Linked DNA regions of Caenorhabditis elegans. The protein of the gene in region 2 interacts with the protein of the main gene of each other region in a pairwise test. Each region holds a gene or a part of one and is shown on either strand. Other genes may lie near its edges. The genes, in order: mek-5, gap-3, pcf-11 and pafo-1.

Region 1 (5,083 bases), 4.8 Mb from region 2:
GGTTTTGGAAAAATTGGGCTACAAAACTGATATACTGGAACACAAAATTCTGAGACTGCGTATTGCGCAAAATATCTCGTAGCGAAAACTGCAGTAATTCATTAAACGACTAGCGACCGTGTCGACTTTCGAAATTCGAAAAATTTTTGTTTCCGTAATATCTGAATCTATATTTAAAACTTTCAGGTAATCTTTGTGCCAGAAGAAGCACTTATCGAAGCCGCTGCAGAAGAACAAGATGAAATTGAACTACGTCAAAGGATAGCAGAAATTGCAACAATTCTTAATGAAAGAGCCACTAGACGATTGAGATTCTTTTAAGAATAATTAGCTCTAAATCATAATTTTAATTCTAAAAATATTCCTCGCTGGCTCTCATCTTCCCGGTTGACTAAAACACCATTCATTTCTCGCACACAATTTCTCACACATTTTCAACGGTTTTCCTCAACTTTTCCTGTCCTTTTTCCCCGAATTTTCAGTCCATCCTTCCACCAAAAAATCCCACCAACCGTTCGTCCAAATACTTTTTTTGATCCAAAAATTTTTTATTTTGTAGAAGAGAGTGAACTTAAACAAAATAAACTGTTTTCTACCGTTGGTAATAGTTATTCACAAAATTAGCAACACTTTGACGATTCGGTTCAGGAAGATCTCGTAGATAATCACTTTGTTCAATTTGATCAGCATTCCAACGAGCCGATGGTTGACGACGAAGACTGAAAATATTTCAAATTATTTGCATTAAATGGCATTCAACTACAGAACTTTCAACTAACAAATAATAAAAACTCGTCGAAAGTGCAATAAAATAAAAAGAACAGCTAGTTTTTGGAACCAGGAAAAACATTTTGACAAAATTGGTATGTGAATAGAGGCTAGACATGTTTTTTTTTAAACCAAGACAAATAAACTTGAAAAAGCATACCAATTAGATATAAGAACAGCCAATGACTCTGGAAAACCATCAATCGGTTCTACAGTAATCTCTTCATAAGATGACAATCCATTGAGATATTCTTCCAGATTCGGACCGATAGCAAATTCCCAAAGTGTGAGCCCGAAACACCAAATATCGACTTTTTCGCTAAAAATTTATTTCGTGATTAGTGTTAAAATTAAATTTAAGAAAATATTCCAATGTGCAATATTCATATATGCTTTAGAGATCCTGTTATTAGCTGCTTAAAGCTGGATTAACACTTAACGTTTTAACCACATTAGTCATAGCTAATCTATCTAAATACCAACTTTTATAAGAAATGAAAATATTGCGTCAACAGATAAAATGTTTGAACATGCTCTATTGATGGAAAATAGAGGAAACTAATCTGAAAAAATTCGTACCTATAATCTTGTCCCATCTGTTGTTCAGGTGCTTGATACATTTGTGTACCTGCTGCCGATGATGCTATCCTGTATGTATTGTCAATTCTCTGGAAATACAGTTCAATACGAGTTTAAATCAAAAATAAAAATTAACTAATGCTCACCTTAGCTGCTCCAAAATCACAAATCTTGACATATCCTTGTGAATTTACAAGAATATTCTCCGGTTTTATATCACGATGAATATAACCCGGTCCACTATTCCAAACATGTCGAATTGCACGAATAAGTGAAAGTGCAACACTTTGATGAACAGAAAACGGTAGAATACCAAATGGTCGAAAATCTCCTTTATCCATATATTCAAGCACAAGTTCTTTCTTTATACTGCTCACTTCACAACCATGATAACCAACTACGTAATCGGATTGTGAACACTGAAATTATTTAGATATAAAACTGAATTTATCTGAAATAATTTTCAAAATGTTTTCTACAATTTTTCACATTTGTTCACTTTAAAAATCATCGATAATTGTTTGAGAATAATAAAAATAGAAAATCATAAATAGGTTTTATCAATTTTCGGAAAATTATTTTTGAACCAAAATGTATTTATTGCTCAAGTTTATAAAATTTGAAAACAGAAACATTTCTTTTAAAAATTCAAAACCTTACCTGTTATCGTATCACAGCTTCGTTTATGAGATTTACCATCCGATACACATTTGAATTTTCAGTTTAAAAAAATTTTCTCATATTTAAATATTTAATAAGCTTTAAGAGAAAATATCTGTCCAAGTGTGCAAAAAATTATTTTAAAAACGTTTACTAGTTGAAAATCTTAATAAAAATCATGTTACCTCTTCATACGCGAGAATTTCTTTCTCATATTCCGTTTTATCGGTATTTTGTGACAAAATCGTCTTGATTACATACCATTTTTGTGTTTTTTCGTGAAGTGCCCTAAATTCAAAAAAAATTCGTCAATACAGTTTCCTGTTTCGCACTACTTTATAGCCTTTTTTCCGAAGTATTACACTAATTCAAAAGAAAAATTGGCATAAAAGTAATGTCAAGTTGTCATTATGGGATCTCACATTCTCACTGTTGCATGCATTCCGTTGCCCACATATTTGCCACGTTGCAATTCTGATGGAAATATTCTAACGTTTTGAGAGTTTCCAGAAGATTCATCATTTTTTGACGAAATATTTTCGAGTATTAATACAATTTCCTCGTTCTCATCGGTATTTTCCAGTCTCTCCGAGAATTTTTCAAAGTCATCAGCTCCGCGAACTTTTAATATCGCGCCGTCAACGTCGTTATATTTTAATTTGAAATTATTCCGAATTTCTGGAATTTCAGACTTCAATTCGGCAATGAGAATATCCCAAAATCGCCACAAATGCTCAGGAAGCTGGAAAACATAAAATTTGCACTGTTTCTCAATAAATGTTCGAAAGCGTGCCACAAATATTAAATTAATTTTTTTAAATATCGTGCTCAGATCTTGAGTTACTCAAAATTTGTAAGAAGTTCGAAAAAACGAGAAAAATACATTTCCAAAGTTGAACAATTTAGTATTTTTCAGATTTGTGGCATCAAAGATATTTAAATTTTTTTTAATTAAAAATCCAATTAACCTGTAAACATCTGGGCTCTGCCAGTTCTCCAATACATTTTTCCAACTCGAAATAGACAAGAAATGTTCGAATTCCAGACATTATAGAAAAATGAACCGAAACAATTGCTTGGAGAGAAATAGAAAGAAAAAGAAAGTGAAAATGTTTTTTCGTTATCTTATTTGCTCTTTGGAGGCTCTTATCTTTTGTAAAGAGGATGGGCTCGGTGAGCATATGTAGGCGGAAAATTCAAGACATTTTTGGTATCTTATTCATTAAAAATTCTAACATTTTTGTAGGAATTTCAGAAATTTCCAGAGAAAATAACTTCCGAATTCCTTTCCCCACCCATTTTCAGGTATTTTTTTCATTTTTCCTTAACAAATTACTTATGCAAATTCACGCGACTTTTATAGTAGTTTTCTGCAATTATATTCATAATTTAGTAGCAATCACGCATTTTCCCGAATAACATATTTTATTTCAACGTTTGATTAAATTATTTGAAAACTTTTTGGAAGATATCAACAAAATAAATTATCAAATTAGATATGATCATGGATCAAATCAAGAAAGGAATGGAGATCCATTTTAAAAAGAAAAGAGCAGAGAGAGAGAGAGAGAGAAACAAGAAAAATAAATATAAGATAAAAAGGAAACAAAACGTTTTTCGGGCATAGTTTCCATTAATATTGAATATTTTTTGATTAGGATGGTTGAATATTTGAGAATTGTATTTTTGGACAGATTTGGAGCGTTTGGTGAATTTTTGGGGTTTTTAGTATGGTCGGAATCTGCAAATGTTTTCATGTATTTATATATTTTATTAAAATTTTTAGAATTAATTTTTGGAAATTTGGTTTTAATAATTTTTGTAAATTTTATTTTTTATAACTAATTTATATTTTAGAATGCATACCCAGCAGCTTGGCCTCCTCTTCCTCGTCCACCCATTCCTCCCATTCCACCTCTTCCTCCCATTGGTCCACCAGGTCCACCGAATCCTCCACGTCCTCCACGGAAGCCTCCTCTAAATCCTCCACGCCCACCGCGTCCACCTCTTCCACCACCTTCTCCGCCTTCTTTCTTTTCTTCGTCTTCCTTTTCTTCACCATCTCCGGAGCCGTTTTTCAAATGAGCCGGAGTTGTATCTTCATGAATCTGAAAAAAATAACGACACTTTGGATATTTCTGTTAGTAAAAAGGTGGATGACACATGCAACAACAAAAAACCAAAAATGAAATGACAATATCTGAAAACTATTTTCCTTACCGGTTGCAAAATTCTTGACAACTCCTCAATTACCGCAGCGACACGTCCGTAGGCAATGTATGCTGGAGCAACAGTTTCAACCTTTACGTGAAGGGGCCCACTGAAATGAGCGTGTTGTGGATCTCCAGATGCCAAAAGCTCAGCCTCCTTCTCACGATCCTTGGTGGATCCACGTCCCAAAATGTAAATATGACATTTGTGGGTCTTGCATAGCGTTTGGAGAGTTGCTCCCTTCGGTCCAAGAACTTTACCGATGAAGTTGAACTGGAAAATTGAATTTTGTAAAAGATAAAATGTAAACTATAACCCACGTTTGGATGACGGTAAATCGGAACAAGAATCTTCTTGCAAACCTTAACTGGCTTGGCCACATCAACTTCGAGCCATTCTGGATCAATATTGTTCTCCAAACGTTCTTTCTCGGAGTTTAAGAGTCGTCGGGCATTTCTAAACTGATCACCCGAGGTTTCCAGTCCAGTTACTTCCAAATGAATTTCTCGTAAAACTGCCTGAATCTCGGCATCCAAAGGTGAAGTCATTTCTTGTGGTGGGTATCCTTGACCTGGATACATTCCATATCCACCAGCGGCTCCATATGGATTGTATGGATCGTATCCACCGTAGCCACCAGCAGCGGCACCATAACCTTCTTGTGGATATCCTCCACCATGACCTCCGCCACGACCTCCACGTGCTGGGAATCCACCGCCACGGCCTCCTTGTTGATATGGGTCCATTATGACTGTGAGTTGTCAAGAAATCAAAGAGAGAAGCTCTGGAATAGTAGGCGTTAGACAGTTGAAAAGATTGCAGCAGAAACAAACAAATTAACAGACAAGCTACGAAGGAGTACTTT
Region 2 (4,678 bases):
GAAATGTGCCAATGGGGCTGTATTGCACCATGTCCGTGGATACTGTATCGTAGAAGTACGGTAGATCCGACAAATCGGCCACCTCTGTGATCTGTAAAAGCACGGAATCTGAGAATTTCACGCGGTGTTGTAGAGTGTCTCTTGATCTACGCTGATCTACAAAAAAAAGCGGCAGAGCTCTCAACTGATTTCGCATGGTTAAGAGCGTGCTGAAGAAGCCACATTTTTTTGGAAAAAAAATTCCCGCATTTTTTGTAGATCAAACCGTAATGGGACAATCTGACACCACGTGAATTATCGAATTTTCCAAAAATTTGGCAAATTATTGATTTTCTTGAATAGTGTTAATTTATTGATTTTTCTGCCCCCGAAAATCGAGATTTATCGATTTTCTCAAATAGTGTTAATAAATTGGAGAAATCCAGCTTGGACCAAAAAAAAAAAATTTTTTTGTTTTTTTTTTCAGCAGGCAGGCATTAGGTAGGCAATTTATAAATGGGTCTCGCCGCGATTTTGTACCAAAATAAGTGTATTTGGTACGCCAAAGCCTACATTAGATATTACGGGAACACAAAATTCTGAAAATGCGTATTGCACAACATATTTGACGCGCAAAACATAAAAATATCTCTTAGCGAAAACTACAGTAACCCTTTAATTGACTACTGTAGCGCTTGTGTCAATTTACGGAAATCATTTATTAATCAATAAAATTAAATTTTAAAAGAAAACTCAAAAATGACATTTCGTAATTTTTTTTTGCCATTTTTGTGTTTTCTTTTAAAATTTAATTTTATTGATTAATAAATGACTTCCGTAAATCGATACAAGCGCTACAGTAGTCAATTAAAGGGTTACTGTAGTTTTCGCTACGAGATATTTTTATGTTTTGCGCGTCAAATATGTTGTGCAATACGCATTCTCAGAATTTTGTGTTCCCGTAATATTAGCACAATTTCGCCTTTTTTAATTAATTTTTTAAATTTTTTGTAGAAAATTGTGAAAAAAAACGTAACATTTTTTTGCTTAAAAATTGTAATTTTTCATCAGTTTTTTCCTAGAATTTTCAAATTTTCAGTTAGAAATTTCCAGTCTTTCCTACTTTTCCCTACCAAAGGTTCCAAATGTGATCTTAAAATAATTCCAACGGAACCGCTCGTCTCATTTCGTCCTAACATCCATCCGGTCTCGTCGGTCTCACAAACTGACAGAATATCACCGATTTCCGAGTTCATTTCGTCGATTTCGCGTTGTTCGAATCGTCTAACGCATAGGTACTTGGTTTCTTGGATTTCCTGGAAACAAATTTTATGGTATATTAAAATTCCGGCATGCACGGGGTGCCAGCGACTGTCCCATTACGTTTTGATCTACAAAAAATGCGGGAATTTTTTGCAAAATCAGTTGAAAACTCTGCCGCATTTTTTGTAGATCTAAGTAGATCAAACCGAAATGAGACCACGTGGACATGTTTGCGCGTTAAATTTGATCTACTCGATTACGGACTCAATACACCATATTTTACGCGCAAAAACTACTACTATTACAGATAATTCTACAAAACTTTATATTCGTGTATATCGATATTCTGACCAATTCGTCATATTTGACGCACAAATTATAAATTATTACGGGAAGACTAAATTCTGAGAATGCGTATTACACAACATATTTGACGCGCAAAATATCTCGTAGCGAAAACTACAGTAACCCTTTAAATGATTACTGTAGCGCTCTTGCGTCGATTTACGGAAATCATTTATTAATCTATAAAATTAAATTTTAAAAGAAAACACAAAAATGGCAAAAAATAACGAAAAAACCAATGAGAATTGTATTTTTTTGCCATTTTTGAGATTTCTTTTAAAATTTAATTTTATTGATTAATAATTGACTTCCGTAAATCGACACAAGCGCTACAGTAGTCAATTAAAGGGTTACTGTAGTTTTCGCTACGAGATATTTTGCGCGTCAAATATGTTGTGTGATACACATTCTCAGAATTTTGTGTTTTCGTAAGACATGGAGTAATTTAATTGTTTTTTTAAATTAAATTTGCGCGTTAAATTTGATCTACTCGATTACAGACTCAAGACACTCTATTTTACGCGCAATATTATAAATTTCTTTTTTTTCTCTGAAAAATCACTTTAAAATCCAACAAATTATCCAATAATGCAAAAATTTGCGCGTCAAATATGGTGTATCACACGTGGTGTCAGAGTGTCTTATTTTGGCTTGAATAAAGTTGATCTACAAAAAATGCGGCAGAGTTCTCAACTGATTTGGCATGTTTTTGGGCGAAAAATTCCCGCATTTTTTGTAGATCAAACCGTAATGGGGCAAAAAAATACCCCATTAATCGGCATAATTCCTCCTTTTCGAACTGGAATCACAGCCAGCTGATAGGCATCTACAATATCTCGAAGGGTCTCGAAACGCTTTCCTTCGAAAAAGTAGTGAGGTGGGGTGAGTTGGCGGATGCTGAAAAAAATTTGAATTTTAAATTTTTATGTTTAAAAACCAACGGTAAATGTTTCGGATAGCCGTCTTGATCCAATATCGACAGATAAAATCTCGTCTGGCCAGTTTGCCGAACCAAAAACGCGCCGGGAGATGTGCCCTGGAATGTTTTGCCGGTTTTTTGCCATTTTTTGCCATTTTTTTTGTAATTTTTCGCAAAAGAAACCTGAAGCAAATGATTGGCATCGTGTTCGTTTAATTCCCCATGGTACCACACATCGTTTGGCGATATATCAGGCGGTGTTGGGTTCGTGTGAGTCTGCGAAAAAACAATTCCTTTTTTTTAACTTAGGATTTTTTAGAATATTTTAAACTGTAAATATAATTGATTTTCGATGAAAATAAATAATATAAATGGTATTTTTCTAATTTTTTCTAATTTTTCCTTTTTTTCCTCGATTTTCACTTGTTTCGCCCTCACTTTTAGAAACAATGGCCCTTCCGTGCTGCTGTTAGGTGTAGTATTCTCGCTTGAGTGCATAACTTTTCATTTGCACCTGAAAAATGCCAAAAAATTATTGATTTTCATCAAAAAACAGGAAAACAAATTCAAAAAAATGCGAAAAATCGGACGGGTACGCAATTTTGCGTGACGGTGTACGTACTGGGGAAATGGAGGGAAATTTGAATTTTAATTAATTTTCGATGATTTTCGATGAAAAAACCTGATTTTCAGGTAGAAAATTAGAGTTTTAAACCAAAATTTTGTTTGGAAATTCGAAAATTTGCGCTGGAAGCTAAAAAAAAACAATATTTAATTGTCTTGGCCTGATTTTGGAATGTGAATTCCATAGATATCAACTCCGCAAATGTTTTTTTTTTCTTATTTTTATCGTTTTCAGCTAATTAGAAAACTTTTTTTTTAATTTTAGGTGAAAAAATGCAAAGTTTCATCGAAAAGTACTAGAAAATGTTTAAAAAATACAAAATCCGGAGGAGGCAGTGGAAAGTGAACTCCGTAGATTTCAACTCCGTGGGATTAATCCCAGTTTTGCTAATTTTCAGTCTATTTTTTAAATTTTTAATTTGAAAACAAAACGTTTTTTTTAATTCCTTTTTAAAAAACCCATCGAAATGGAAAAAAAACCCGGGGAAGGCAGTGGAATTTGAATTTGGTAGATTTCAACTCCGTGGAATCAAGCTTGAACAATTTCAATAAAAATTCAAAGTTTCCTCAAAAAAAAAGGTGGTAAACGGTAGGAAATAGGTTGTGAATAAAGTGATAAAAGTTGAAGAAAAGAAATCGAAAGAGAAGGGGGGAGAAAAGGACGCATATTATTACACCCACGCAGTCTTCTTCTTCTTCTTTCTCACAATATACACACACACACACAGACACCAGATCACTTTTCTGTGTGTGTGTATATGTGTCTGCGTCTCTACCACGAATCACTGTCTCTCTCTCGGTTTTCTGTGTCTCTTGTACAGCGAGAGAGAGAGCACCGGAAGTTCGGATGATGGACCATTTGTGAAAGTGGGAAATGGAGGACGGAGAACACGGAAAGTTTTGGAATTTATTCAAATATTTTGGGTAATACCTAAAAATAAAGAATTTTCGTGAAAAAAATTGTCGTTGTGATAACAGATAACACAGTGATAACAAGACATGTGATTAAAAATTATGTTTTTTTTTTGAAAATTTTATTTTTTACAGCTGGAAAAGTTTAAACGTGTACACGTGGTGTCAGAGTGTCTCTTATTTCGGTTTGATCTACGTTGATCTACAAAAAATGCGGGAGAAGAGACGCATAGTTTTCAACTGATTTTGCATGGTTAAGAACGTGCTGACGTCACATTTTTTTGGGCGAAAAATTCCCGCATTTTTTGTAGATCAAACCGTATTGGGACAGCCCCTGGCACTACTTGCGTGTGGAGACAGCGCCAAAACACCACATGGTGTATTGGCTGCGCCTACTTTTTCAATGAAATTTTACATTTTTAGAGCAGTTTTGCCGTAAAATTCAGCTGTTTTTTATTGTTTGAAGAAAAAAAGGAAAATTAATGGGACAAGTACCAGCTCCTGCTCCTCCGGGCTTCTTCTTTTTTTCTTTTTTTTTGCCAATTATTATTACTCGGAGGAAGTTTTTTTTTTTTTTTTTGTTGCAATATTTTTTTTTCTAAAAGAATTTTAATTTTAAATTCTTATAACCGGTTA
Region 3 (6,705 bases), on a different chromosome or scaffold from region 2:
CGATTTTTTACTTATGAATATAATTATCCAAAAAACCCGAATATCGTAGCAAACTCCAAAACGTGTTAGATATTTAAAAGTATCTAGTCATTTTGGCAACTTACCAAACTTTCCAAAATTTGAGATTTTTGAACAATTTAGAGCCAATAAAATGTTGAAATACGAATATTCCAAAACTTCTCGAAACAGGTTTCTAACAATTGATTCAATTGATACTGCCTACAGTAGTCTTTGCGGCATTTCATAACTTTGGAGTGTCAGTGATTTACGGAATTGACCAGAACCTACATCTCTGAAATTCTCGTTATGTGAACAAAAACAATTATATTTCCCATTTTAATAGATTTATTCGACCAAAAAAACAAAACGAAAAAATAATTTTAAAAAAGCAAATAAAAATTATTGAAGTCGTCGACTCTGAAAAACGGGGGTTTTATGATTTTTATTTTCAATGTGATAAATTGGAGGGTGGAAAAGGAAAAATATATATAAAAGGTATTTTTAAAAATAATTTGCTTTATTTATAGAAAATGTATAGGTGAGGTTTTGAAACGGAATCACAACCAAGATTTGTTGAAATTGTCTGGGACGTTGGGGGGGGGGGGGGGGGGGGGGGGGTGTAAGCTAAATGAAAACTAAAAAACCCATAACGAAACAAGAAAACAGGAAAACTTTGGTATGCTTGAAAATTTTAAAGCATATGGAAAAATGCTTTAATGAATTTTTTGGTGAATTTTATAATTTCTGTTAATATTTTCAATGACTAGACAATGCCCATCAAAAAGGCTCAATAAAAAAACAATTATGTTCAGTCGAACGGCTCCTCTTTTTTGATGTCACTGTCGTTGAAGAATGATGAGTTGTCGAGTGATCGAGCTGCGTCGGAAGCACACGCAGAATGCACAATCTGTAATGAATCTTGATAAATTCACGAGTTTTGAATAACAAATTTTCACCTTTCCGTGAACATTAACTGTGTCCCTTAATCGCCACGTTTCCTCGTCATCATCATAATACTCGTCAAACTTCTCACCACAAACTGAACATTCTTTGGTTTTAACACCGGAAGATGCTACTCCTGGAAGTGGTTCCTCGGGTTTATCAGCTTCTTGCTCATTCGTTTCATCAGATGCACGTGGTGTAAGCCAAGTGGATGTCGATGGATACCACTGACGATATGGTACAGCTGCCGAATTGTTCGACCCGTGGCGTGCCAAATTTTGCTTCACATGCCAATCCATATGATCTTGCCATTCTTTTGACTTTCCTTGAGAATCATCTAATCTCATTCCACAAAACTTGCAAGCGTCGGCTCTCTTGGTAATCAACGCGTCAACGACCGAGTCGTAACGAATTTGCAAGAGACGAATATTGAAATCTGTGATGGCCGCCGGTGGAGCACTTCGCTTCTCAACACCACTTCCAATTGGAGATGGATCAGATGGTGGTGGTGGTATATTCTGCTGTTTATTCGCTCCACCCCATCTAGCGTTCTGTTGTGGTTGATGACGGTTATGATAACCTCCTCTCTGAAAACAATAAATTATTTAAGAGACTGTAATCCTGATAGTTAATTACCTGTCCAGCATTATTCATTCCCGGAATTGGAAGATTAGCTGGTGGTGGAGTCTGGTTGCGTGGCGAAGATGGCGATCTGGCCGGAGCTGGCAATATATTACGAGTTCTCAAATTTTTCAGATATGAGAGCCAATCCTCCTTCTTCTCCGGCTTCTCCGATGCAATTTCAATCTTCTTCTCCTCGCGCATTTTGTGCAAGAAATGAGTAAGATGATATGCTGGCTCAGGCTCAATGCGAACTTCTGGAGCACTTCCAGTCAATCGGATCTCATGACGACGTCCATTGATCGTTGCAATGATCGGTGGTCCTCCAAATTGACCTGAAAGTTCGAATATGAATTAAAAACTGTGAAAATATGTGTATTTACCTTTGAATGGGTGACCACCAATGTAAAGTTCGCGGGATGGTGCTCCGAACTTGACCATATGCTTTGATCCTAATATGTCAATTTGAGTTGGAGTGTCAAACTGAAGCAAGTGTGGGATTCCATCAATTACGAGGTTTCTTGGCGGTCCAGCGAAATAAATACGATGTGGAGCACCACCACGCTCGATAACTGCAGTATCATCGACAAACATCACTTCATAAGCTTTTCCATCGACAAAGATACGGTTGTTGGCTGGAACATCGAGTTTCGGTTGTTCTGACGAGTAAACGTTCTCTGGAGCTGGAAGGTGTTGCTGTGGAGGTGGAGCTTGAACTGGAACGATTGGTGCCGGATCTTGTGGAGGCGAATTATGATGATATCCTCTTCCCATTCCTTGATGAACTGGTGGAGGTGGAAGTTGTGGATGATGTTGTTGAGGATGTTGGAATGGAGGAGCAGACGAAAGTGGCGGAGCAGGCACAAATGGAGCCACTGAAACAGGTGGTGGCACAGGTATCATAGGACGGATCGGAGCAGCTACAGGGGCAAATGCGTGAGATCCTATCACTGATGTTGGCCTGCAAAATTTTCGATTTTTAAAACAGTTTAGACTAAATACTCACTTCAAAGTCTTTGGTCGGAAATCTTGATCTTGTGCTGATGGAACTGGCGGCTTCTTCGTCAAGCTTATAGATCTGAGATCCTCATCAATGGCTGTCTGTGGCTTTGGTGGTTGTTGTGGCTTCTTGCGAATCGGAGCATTTGGATGCTCGGATGGTGCTGATTTTCGCTTCAATCCAGCCGGTGATGATGATGTCTTGGATGCAGAGCTTGATGGAAGTAGTTTGTCACTGGAAAAAATGTTTTGTTAACTGAAATAAAACTAATCTTTTAAGCGTGTTATTTCGGACTAGCTGATCATGACAAAATTACTGTGAAATTTTATTCAATGTTACACTTTCACACAGATTTATTTTATTTTTTTTTTCATTCATTTTGTTTCTGAATTACTTTTTTTCAAAATTAAAACATCGATTCTTCTCATTACATACCAAATTGTAACACCAAGACACGCCTAAGACATTAAACTTACAGTGGATCCTGTTTTGGTTCTTTCTTCACTTGCTTTTCCTTGTTTACTGTGCCAGGTGATTTCTGTAATAACATAAGCGGTTTCAACAAATATCCCACCCAATTGGAAATAATTTATTTGAACAGTGACGAAGAATATTGTGTTTTTTGCCAATTCTGTCGCTTATTTTCTCAACTTCCATGATTCCGGTGAAAAATGATAGATAAAGCATTTCTTTTTTTTTCATAATAAATAAACGATCAGATGATATGTGGAAAAATAAAGACAAAACATAGAAAGTGATACATTGAAAAACGTGTGAAAATAAAAGTTCACAAGAATATTTTACCGTTTTTTCCACGACCGTCTTTGATGCTGATGCTGCACCAGGTGTGGATGAACCTATGAACTTTGGGTTCACAAATACACGATTCGTTGACGTGGAAGCCGCTGGACTGGTGGCATTGCCTGCTGGTCTACTCTGAGAAGGAGCCATAACTTGTGGATCATCACGAAGTGCACGACCAGTCTGTGGATTTGAAATTGGCCAATTTGGGTCAAGCTTATTGATCTGAAATACAAATATTAATATCATTAGCAATGATATTGCGAAATCGTAGCTCGATTTCAGGATCTGAAATTGAAAGTTTACCTTCATGTCAAGCTCATATAACTTTGAAGGCATGAACAATGTGGTGCTGGCCCATGTGACTCGTATCCTGTACAACGATGTACGGATTCTTTCATCTCCCTGAAATGTTTAGAATTCAAAATGATTTCGAAAAATAATTGCAAGCGAAATTAACGTGACATACTTTGTAGATATTTTTTGCGAAACTTCATTTAAATTTCTCAGCTATACGCGCTAAAATGTCGTGCGAAGTAGCAGGAAAAAGTTTTACACCGAAATTGGAAACAAAACGTTTTAACTTCTCAGGACATTTTGTGGAAAACTACGGTACTCAATCGCGACAAGACCCGGTCTGTAGCTGAGAAAGTTTTGACCTTATCTTCTAGATCCAAAAAGGCGCGCGAAAAATCTGTTAACTACCGCAATGAAAGCTGGCGAAACGTTGTTGGATTGCATTTTTGCGTGCTTTGCTAGATTAGACTAAGCCTTCCGTGAGGGTAAAAAAAAGGTAGGGCACGTTGATACCCTTTTTTACCCTTTACCCGAACAGGGTATTTTATGGACACATTACCCTATGCCTTCACGTAATAATACGAATTTTAAGCATTATTCGCTTTATTTGTAAAATTTTCGTTTTTAGAAATGAAATTTCTAAGAAAACGTTAAAAATGAATTAATACAGGGTAAAACCAGGGCATAGGGTAGGGTAGGGTAGGGCAGAGGGTAGGGTAGGGAGGGTAAAAACTCACCCTCATGGAAGGCTTAGATTAGACAGACCGATGTTTTTTAATTTTGATATATTACCTGTCGGAAAGCATGCTCGAACATGCTTACGATTTTCCTTGCAAACAGTGCATCATAATCGTTCGGCTTCTTAACGTTCTTCAAAATCGAATCACACACGTACATCACTAACAGTTTTTGTGAAGGAGAACACGTTGTCAGATGCCGCTCAATAACTTCAACAATTTGTGGAGCTGCTTTTTTGAAGTCGTCAGCCAGAATAGTTAGCAGATTTATTTGAGTCTTGTTGTTGTTTCTCAATTCGGCCAACGTCTCACGATAGTCTCGTGCTGCCGATTCGACCGATTCCATCATGAATATTGATTGTGATATTTACGAAGGTGAATAAAATAACCCGGATATTCGTTTTCACGTGCTGAAATTAATTATTTTTGAAAAATAAAAACTGCGTGAAAAATACAACGGGAGAAGTCAACGAGATTATAGCACCGTCCCGAGCAAAAACTAAATAACGGCGGGCAGCTTCAAAACTTCCGCACGAACATACAGGAAGTTGTGATGCTCCAAACGCGCAGGCGAGCCAACAGCTTGATACAACAAGCGCGAATATTATGCTAATCGCAACTGAAGAGTAGTCAAGAAACCCAAAGTCTAGCTGACAAAGTGACTTTCCATATATTTTTATTATTTTTTAGAGAAAATGAGGACAAAATCATAAAAGGAAGGGGGATAGGGGAATGGGAAGGGAATGTATATTTTTTAAAGGGTGACTGCACACCGTCTGAGGTCCGCCTCTTCTCGCACCAAACAGTCTGCGCGCTGTCTTTCGAGTCGAGTCCGGCGTATCTGGAAAATATTGATTAGTGACGTGAAAAAATGGATCAATAAACGCAACAAGAAACGAGGAGGTAAAAACAGAGAGAGAGAGAGATTGTGGATGGAATGAAGGAAATTGGTAAAAGGAGATGATGGAGGGGAACATGTACAAGAATTATGTGTATTAGCAAGTAATTTTAATTAAAATAAGATGACAAAATCAGTTAGCAAAAGCACATATAGAGAAAATTGCAAAGAAACGGCGTTATATTTGAAGAAAACTGGGAGAAATGAACGAAAGAGACAGAAAACAGGCAAGAGAGACAAAAGCGCGTGGTAGAGGCGTGTCAATCGATTTTGCGCGGGTCTCGCAGCGACCGGGTGAGTGTGAAGAGGCGCAGAGAACATTTTCGTAGCTGCCAGCAATTGATTCTTGCTGTGAAACGGCTGACGGGAGCCAGGAGGTTTTTACTTGTTCTGATAGTGAGGAATTTTTTTAAGTATGAGAAATTATATTAAAGAGCAATTCCCGAAAAATTAATTGACTTCAAAAAGCATGGTACGTCGCTTTTAGATAAGGAATGTGTCTTTAAATGTTCAATACAATTATTTGTACAAATTCGGATGAACTCGCTTCAAGATTTTAATCGAAACGAGTTTTAATCCATATTAATTTGAAAGTGAGAGTTGAAAAAAAGATGCAAACGAAAGAAGAACGGGACAAGAGCGAAGAAGCGAAGCCCAATGATTCGAAATTTTGCGAAGAAAACGGGACATCGGTGTTTCGCTACCGCAGAAAAATATTGAGAAAAATAGTGAAAAATAAGGATACCGATGCTGAAACGGCTAGTTTTTATTCAATTAGAACATAAAAGTTTGAATCTACATTTTTATTTAAGAAGCAAGAAAAAAAAATTTAAAATTTACAAATAAATACTCTGATTACAGTGTCACTAAGTTTAAAAAAATCAAGATTTGTACTGTAAAACCTGCGGTGGTGAGTGTGGGAATTCCGGTGGTCCATAAAGCTTTTCAGCGCGGTGCAAAAATGCTGAAACCATAGTTTTTACGACTTTATCGAAGAAAAGATGAGCGATTCTTGAGTGAAAAGCTGACTCGAATTCAAAAACTAAGTCATAGTGAAGAGTACATGAGCGTTCAACAGATGGTTTTCCCTGAAAAAGGTGAACGTTAATAGAGGTTTAACAAAAATTGATGGAACGAACTTTTCCAAACCGGAACGTAGTGTCAAGTGTGCGGAAGAGATTATCATTTTCTATGACGACAGACTGTAAACACATAGAATATCGAAAACCGAAACCTTCTTAGAAATCTTTGAATAAACTAACATGAACAACAGATGGCTTAATGTGAATCACACGACTCGAATATTTCTCTGAAAGTGGTGGAAACCCAATTTCCAGCGTCGCAATCTGTGAGCTTTCGTGCTCGTGGGTTACTGTAGACGACCGACACCATGGAACAAAATTGTGATA
Region 4 (4,072 bases), on a different chromosome or scaffold from region 2:
GAAATTCGGATGCAATATTAATGATTGCACCACGAGAAACGGAAAGTGTATCGCCTTCCTGTCGTTTCGAAGCTTTGATTATGAGTGGTACAAGGCTTTGTGTAAGCATCATTGGACCAATTGTATTTGACTCAAACAAATCCAGAACAACTTTTCGATCAGGTTTTTGTTTTGTTACATATGGAAGCATCACAGCTGCATTATTTATAAGAAGAGTTAATCCAGATTCTCCAACAATTTCAGACACTTTTTCAGCAAAATTTGCAATTGATTCATCGGATCCGAGTGAGAGTTGAAGAATGTGAAGTCGTGGATCACAAATTCCCTTGAGAGCCTGAAAAATTGGAAATTAAGAATGCCGTAGTCCAATACATGTTGTTGGGAAATTTTTACCATATACAAATATTAGGAACACAAACCTAATACAAATAACTATAATCTCAGCAACGGATAAAGTATAAATAAACTCGAAAAAACTTACAGTTGCCTTATCAACATCTCTTGCAGTCGCAATGACATGCTGAACATTTGGATCTTTCAGAAATTGTTGAACTAATCCAAATCCCAATCCTCGATTGGATCCGGTTACCACAACTGATTTTGGAGACATTTTCACTAGAATTTAAGCATAGAATTGAATTAACAGAAATCGAAAATCAATGAATGATGATTATTATTTCTTATCAATAGTATTTCTCTTCTGTTCTGCAAAATAAACAGCGTGATGAACTGCCACAATAATTAGTTTGGTTTATTGCAGTTTTTAGTTTATTTCGGAATTTCTGAGAAGAGATCAAAGAATTAGACAATGAAGAAAACTATGATAATTTCGATTTTGGTTAATACAGTTTTGCTCTTCAATCAAGTGTTGGTTGCGAACGGGGAAAATGTGAATGTAGGTTTACACAGGAGATGTTATAAAGGACTTTCCTTGGTTCTATTCCTGAGCTTTTCCAGTTGTCCCTGGGAAATTTTCTTTCAAATATTTTTAATGAAAGAGAAACGATAGACAAAAAAAGATAGACAAAAAACTAGGCGCAATTTGTTTTGCTATTGTTATGTTTTTGTAGGTTATGAGCAATTTCAAAATAAGATCTTTCTAGAAAATTGTAAAAATATTATTTCATTCAAGGTATCCTGCCCAATTTTATCCCGAACTCGACACAAAGAACTTCGAACTTTCATGTACAAAAACTGCACTTCCGGTTTCAAGACATGCTTTCAACAAATTATGCTCACTGAAATCGTTCGAAATGAGCAACACGCATTTCTATTTGCCTCTGGTTGTGCTTCGAAGGAAATTCTCAAGCCATTCAATCTAACCGAGGAAACATTCATGAAGTTATGTGACAAGAAAAAAGTGGGACGATGTGTTCATACATACCAGCATCGAGTTTATTATGGTACACTCTGCTGTGAAAGGAATTCGGAAAAAATGTTCGGATCTTGGCTGTGGGATGTTTTCTTTGGAAGTAGTGAAGAGCTAAATGCTGAAATGGAGAATACTGTTAGCTTTGTTCAGCGTGAAAGTATCGGAATGCACGATGATCATGATAATGTAGGCTTTAAAAGTTCACAACCCCACATTTATATAATTTTCCAGAAAGGAGCATTGGCTCTCTACATTGCTGGACCATTCATTGTCACCTTTATATTTACATTATTGTCCCTTTTACAATATTATCATGTTAATGATGGCATTTTGTCATAAAATAAATATTATCGTGACGAGAACGCTGGAAATTCACAAAACAAAAAATACTTTTTGAACACCCGCGCAAAACTGGTTATGCGCCATTGTTCCCTGCTGACGCGCATTGAGCGCTTGCGCAAAACCCGTGTGTGAGAGTTTGAATTTAATTCCCTCGGTGACTAGTTTTTTCGATTTGCAGCCGTTTCTGCCGATTGGTATCTTAATATTATAACTAAATTACTATAAAAAATGCCCCAAGAATCCTCAGATGCCAAAAGGATTGAACCTCCGTAAGTATTATTGTTTTGAATCGCTAGAAAAGTTTTGAAAACATTTTGCAGACGAAAAGTGGATTTCATGCTGAAACCTCGATTTACCAATACTGTTCCTGATGTCCCATTTGATGCAAAGTTTATGACTTGTCCATTTGTTCCTCTGGGAAGGTACACCAATTTTGAAACGTTTGACATTGTTCAATATCTCTGAATTTAGATTTGTCGAATTCCAACCTGCTGCCATTTATCGAGATTACAAGCATGCAGTCATTTGTGACGACGACATGGGTTTGAATGTCGATTTGATTGATCTAAAAAAATACGACGAAGATCCAATCGAAACTGTAGGTTTTTTCCTGAAATATACAGTTTCAAAGATAGAAATGTTTCACTTTTAGGAAATTGATGAGAAAGACAATATTTTACTGGAAGATGATGGCGCCGCTAAATTGATTGCAAAACGATCTCAACAGCATTCTAAACTTGTTCCATGGATGAGAAAAACCGAGTACATTTCAACTGAATTCAATCGGTTCGGTGTGACAGCCGATAGACAGGAGACGAAGCTTGGTTATAACTTGAAGAAAAATCAACAAGTTGAAGATATGTATCGTGACAAGCAGAGTCAAATTGATGCCATTAACAAGACATTTGAAGATGTAAGTACCAGAATATATTTTTTTGATTTAAATCTACTTTTGCGTATTTTAGGTTCGTAAACCCGTCAAGGAGCATTACTCCAAGAAGGGTGTAAAAGCTGTTGAAGAAAGCTTTGTCTTCCCTGATTTCGATCACTGGAAACACCTCTTTGCTCATGTACAATTTGATGGAGACACTATAACAACAGAATTCGAAGAAGAAGATGAACGACAACAAGCACGGGAGAGCAGTGTTATTAAAGCCATGGAATTCGAAGATCAAAAATTTGCAGCAGTTTTTGTTCCAACGATTGGATGTCTTACGAGTTTTATGGATGATCTTGAGTTAGAACGACCATTTGATGAGGATATGAAGTACGAATTCTTGCTAAGCCGTGAATACACATTTAAAATGGAACACTTGCCACCAAGGGATCGTGACGTCTTCATTATGTATCATCGTAATAACGTTTTCCAGTACAACGAAGTTGACTGTAATGTCAAGATGACAAGAAAACCAAAAATGGCATTGAGCAGAAAATCCAAATTGACACTCACATACCGAAATCCTTCCGAACTGGAACAAAAAGACATGAATAAAAGAGAGGCTGAGTTATACGAACAGCCAAAGACCAGAAAACAAGAGATTCTGGAAAAGATTCAAGAGAAGAAAGAAGAAGGTGGTGAGTAAATTTAAGTTTTGAAGTGTTATTTTCCACGCGAACATGCAATTTTTCAGGAGACAGTTCAGATCAGAGCAGTGATTCTGATGACGACAAGCCGCAGAAATCACGATCTGATAGCTCTTCGGACGTTTCATCAGATGACGATTCACCACGGAAAAAGGAACCGACTGTTGACAGCGACAGTGATTGATCTCAAATTTTTAAAATTGTTTTTCTATTTATTTTACCTAATCAAATTGGTTTTTCTCAGTAAACTTGATAACGATTTCAACTATTTGTTCGATTGATCTTCATGAATCTTCGCTAAAAGTGCAAGTATGATTTGACTCACAATTGAAGAAAAAACCAACAGCGGAAACACCAACACCCGCAAAGTTCTGTTTGTGTAGGTGTCTGTTGCTTGCGCTTATGTGCTCCACGTTCTATTCTTTGATTTGTCATGCGGAAGCAACAGGATCAGAGGGCAAGACGTTTAGTTTTGGGGGAAATTCGAACTACCGTTCTGATTGGAATGCGTATTGCGAAACATTGAATATATCCCGTAGCGAAAACTACAGTAATTCTTTAAATGACTACTGTAGCAATAGATTTTCGAAACTACAGTGCATTTTTTTTCCACTTCTACGACTTTAAAGGCGCGCGTATTTATACAAAATGGTCCCGTCATTGGTCTCGCCACGCGCTCAACAAATCAAAGGGATGCGCGTGGCGAGACCATTGCGCGAAAATGCGCGCGCCTTTAAAGTCGTAGAAGTTGTAAAAAAAGCACTGTATTCCAAA

Evidence for each region.
Region 1: the proteins of gap-3 (region 2) and mek-5 interact in a two-hybrid assay, tested with the Caenorhabditis elegans proteins (one large-scale study listed by BioGRID).
Region 3: the proteins of gap-3 (region 2) and pcf-11 interact in a two-hybrid assay, tested with the Caenorhabditis elegans proteins (one large-scale study listed by BioGRID).
Region 4: the proteins of gap-3 (region 2) and pafo-1 interact in a two-hybrid assay, tested with the Caenorhabditis elegans proteins (one large-scale study listed by BioGRID).

Annotation. Positions count from the first base shown.
Region 1 is NC_003279.8:6,800,305-6,805,387, reverse strand, and holds mek-5 (mitogen-activated protein kinase kinase), read right to left. Parts: upstream 3,189-5,083; coding exon 2,976-3,188; intron 2,750-2,975; coding exon 2,430-2,749; intron 2,296-2,429; coding exon 2,193-2,295; intron 1,767-2,192; coding exon 1,494-1,766; intron 1,437-1,493; coding exon 1,348-1,436; intron 1,088-1,347; coding exon 929-1,087; intron 720-928; coding exon 593-719; 3' UTR 528-592; downstream 1-527. Other genes in the region: K02F2.5 (Conserved secreted protein), read left to right, coding at 187-321; E02D9.1 (K Homology domain-containing protein), read right to left, coding at 3,733-3,748, 3,874-4,115, 4,228-4,491, 4,539-4,964.
Region 2 is NC_003279.8:2,007,476-2,012,153, forward strand, and holds the start of gap-3 (SH2 domain-containing protein), read right to left. Parts: upstream 3,051-4,678; 5' UTR 3,005-3,050; coding exon 2,945-3,004; intron 2,783-2,944; coding exon 2,690-2,782; intron 2,624-2,689; coding exon 2,529-2,623; intron 2,485-2,528; coding exon 2,355-2,484; intron 1,296-2,354; coding exon 1,113-1,295; intron 92-1,112; coding exon 1-91.
Region 3 is NC_003281.10:5,023,447-5,030,151, reverse strand, and holds pcf-11 (Polyadenylation and cleavage factor homolog 11), read right to left. Parts: upstream 4,809-6,705; 5' UTR 4,745-4,808; coding exon 4,454-4,744; intron 3,770-4,453; coding exon 3,671-3,769; intron 3,590-3,670; coding exon 3,368-3,589; coding exon of another isoform or gene 3,122-3,367; intron 3,102-3,121; coding exon 3,040-3,101; intron 2,798-3,039; coding exon 2,570-2,797; intron 2,525-2,569; coding exon 1,947-2,524; intron 1,899-1,946; coding exon 1,579-1,898; intron 1,530-1,578; coding exon 957-1,529; intron 908-956; coding exon 809-907; 3' UTR 505-808; downstream 1-504. Other genes in the region: R144.13 (Coenzyme Q-binding protein COQ10 START domain-containing protein), read right to left, coding at 6,178-6,384, 6,436-6,498, 6,559-6,705.
Region 4 is NC_003283.11:11,519,824-11,523,895, forward strand, and holds pafo-1 (RNA polymerase II-associated factor 1 homolog), read left to right. Parts: upstream 1-1,879; 5' UTR 1,880-1,942; coding exon 1,943-1,983; intron 1,984-2,034; coding exon 2,035-2,136; intron 2,137-2,185; coding exon 2,186-2,312; intron 2,313-2,366; coding exon 2,367-2,627; intron 2,628-2,679; coding exon 2,680-3,289; intron 3,290-3,345; coding exon 3,346-3,482; 3' UTR 3,483-3,561; downstream 3,562-4,072. Other genes in the region: C55A6.7 (DeHydrogenases, Short chain), read right to left, coding at 1-334, 482-610; C55A6.11 (uncharacterized protein), read left to right, coding at 809-895, 1,133-1,558, 1,604-1,711. UniProt on the Caenorhabditis elegans protein: Component of the PAF1 complex which is a multifunctional complex involved in transcription initiation via genetic interactions with TATA-binding proteins, elongation and transcription-coupled histone modification.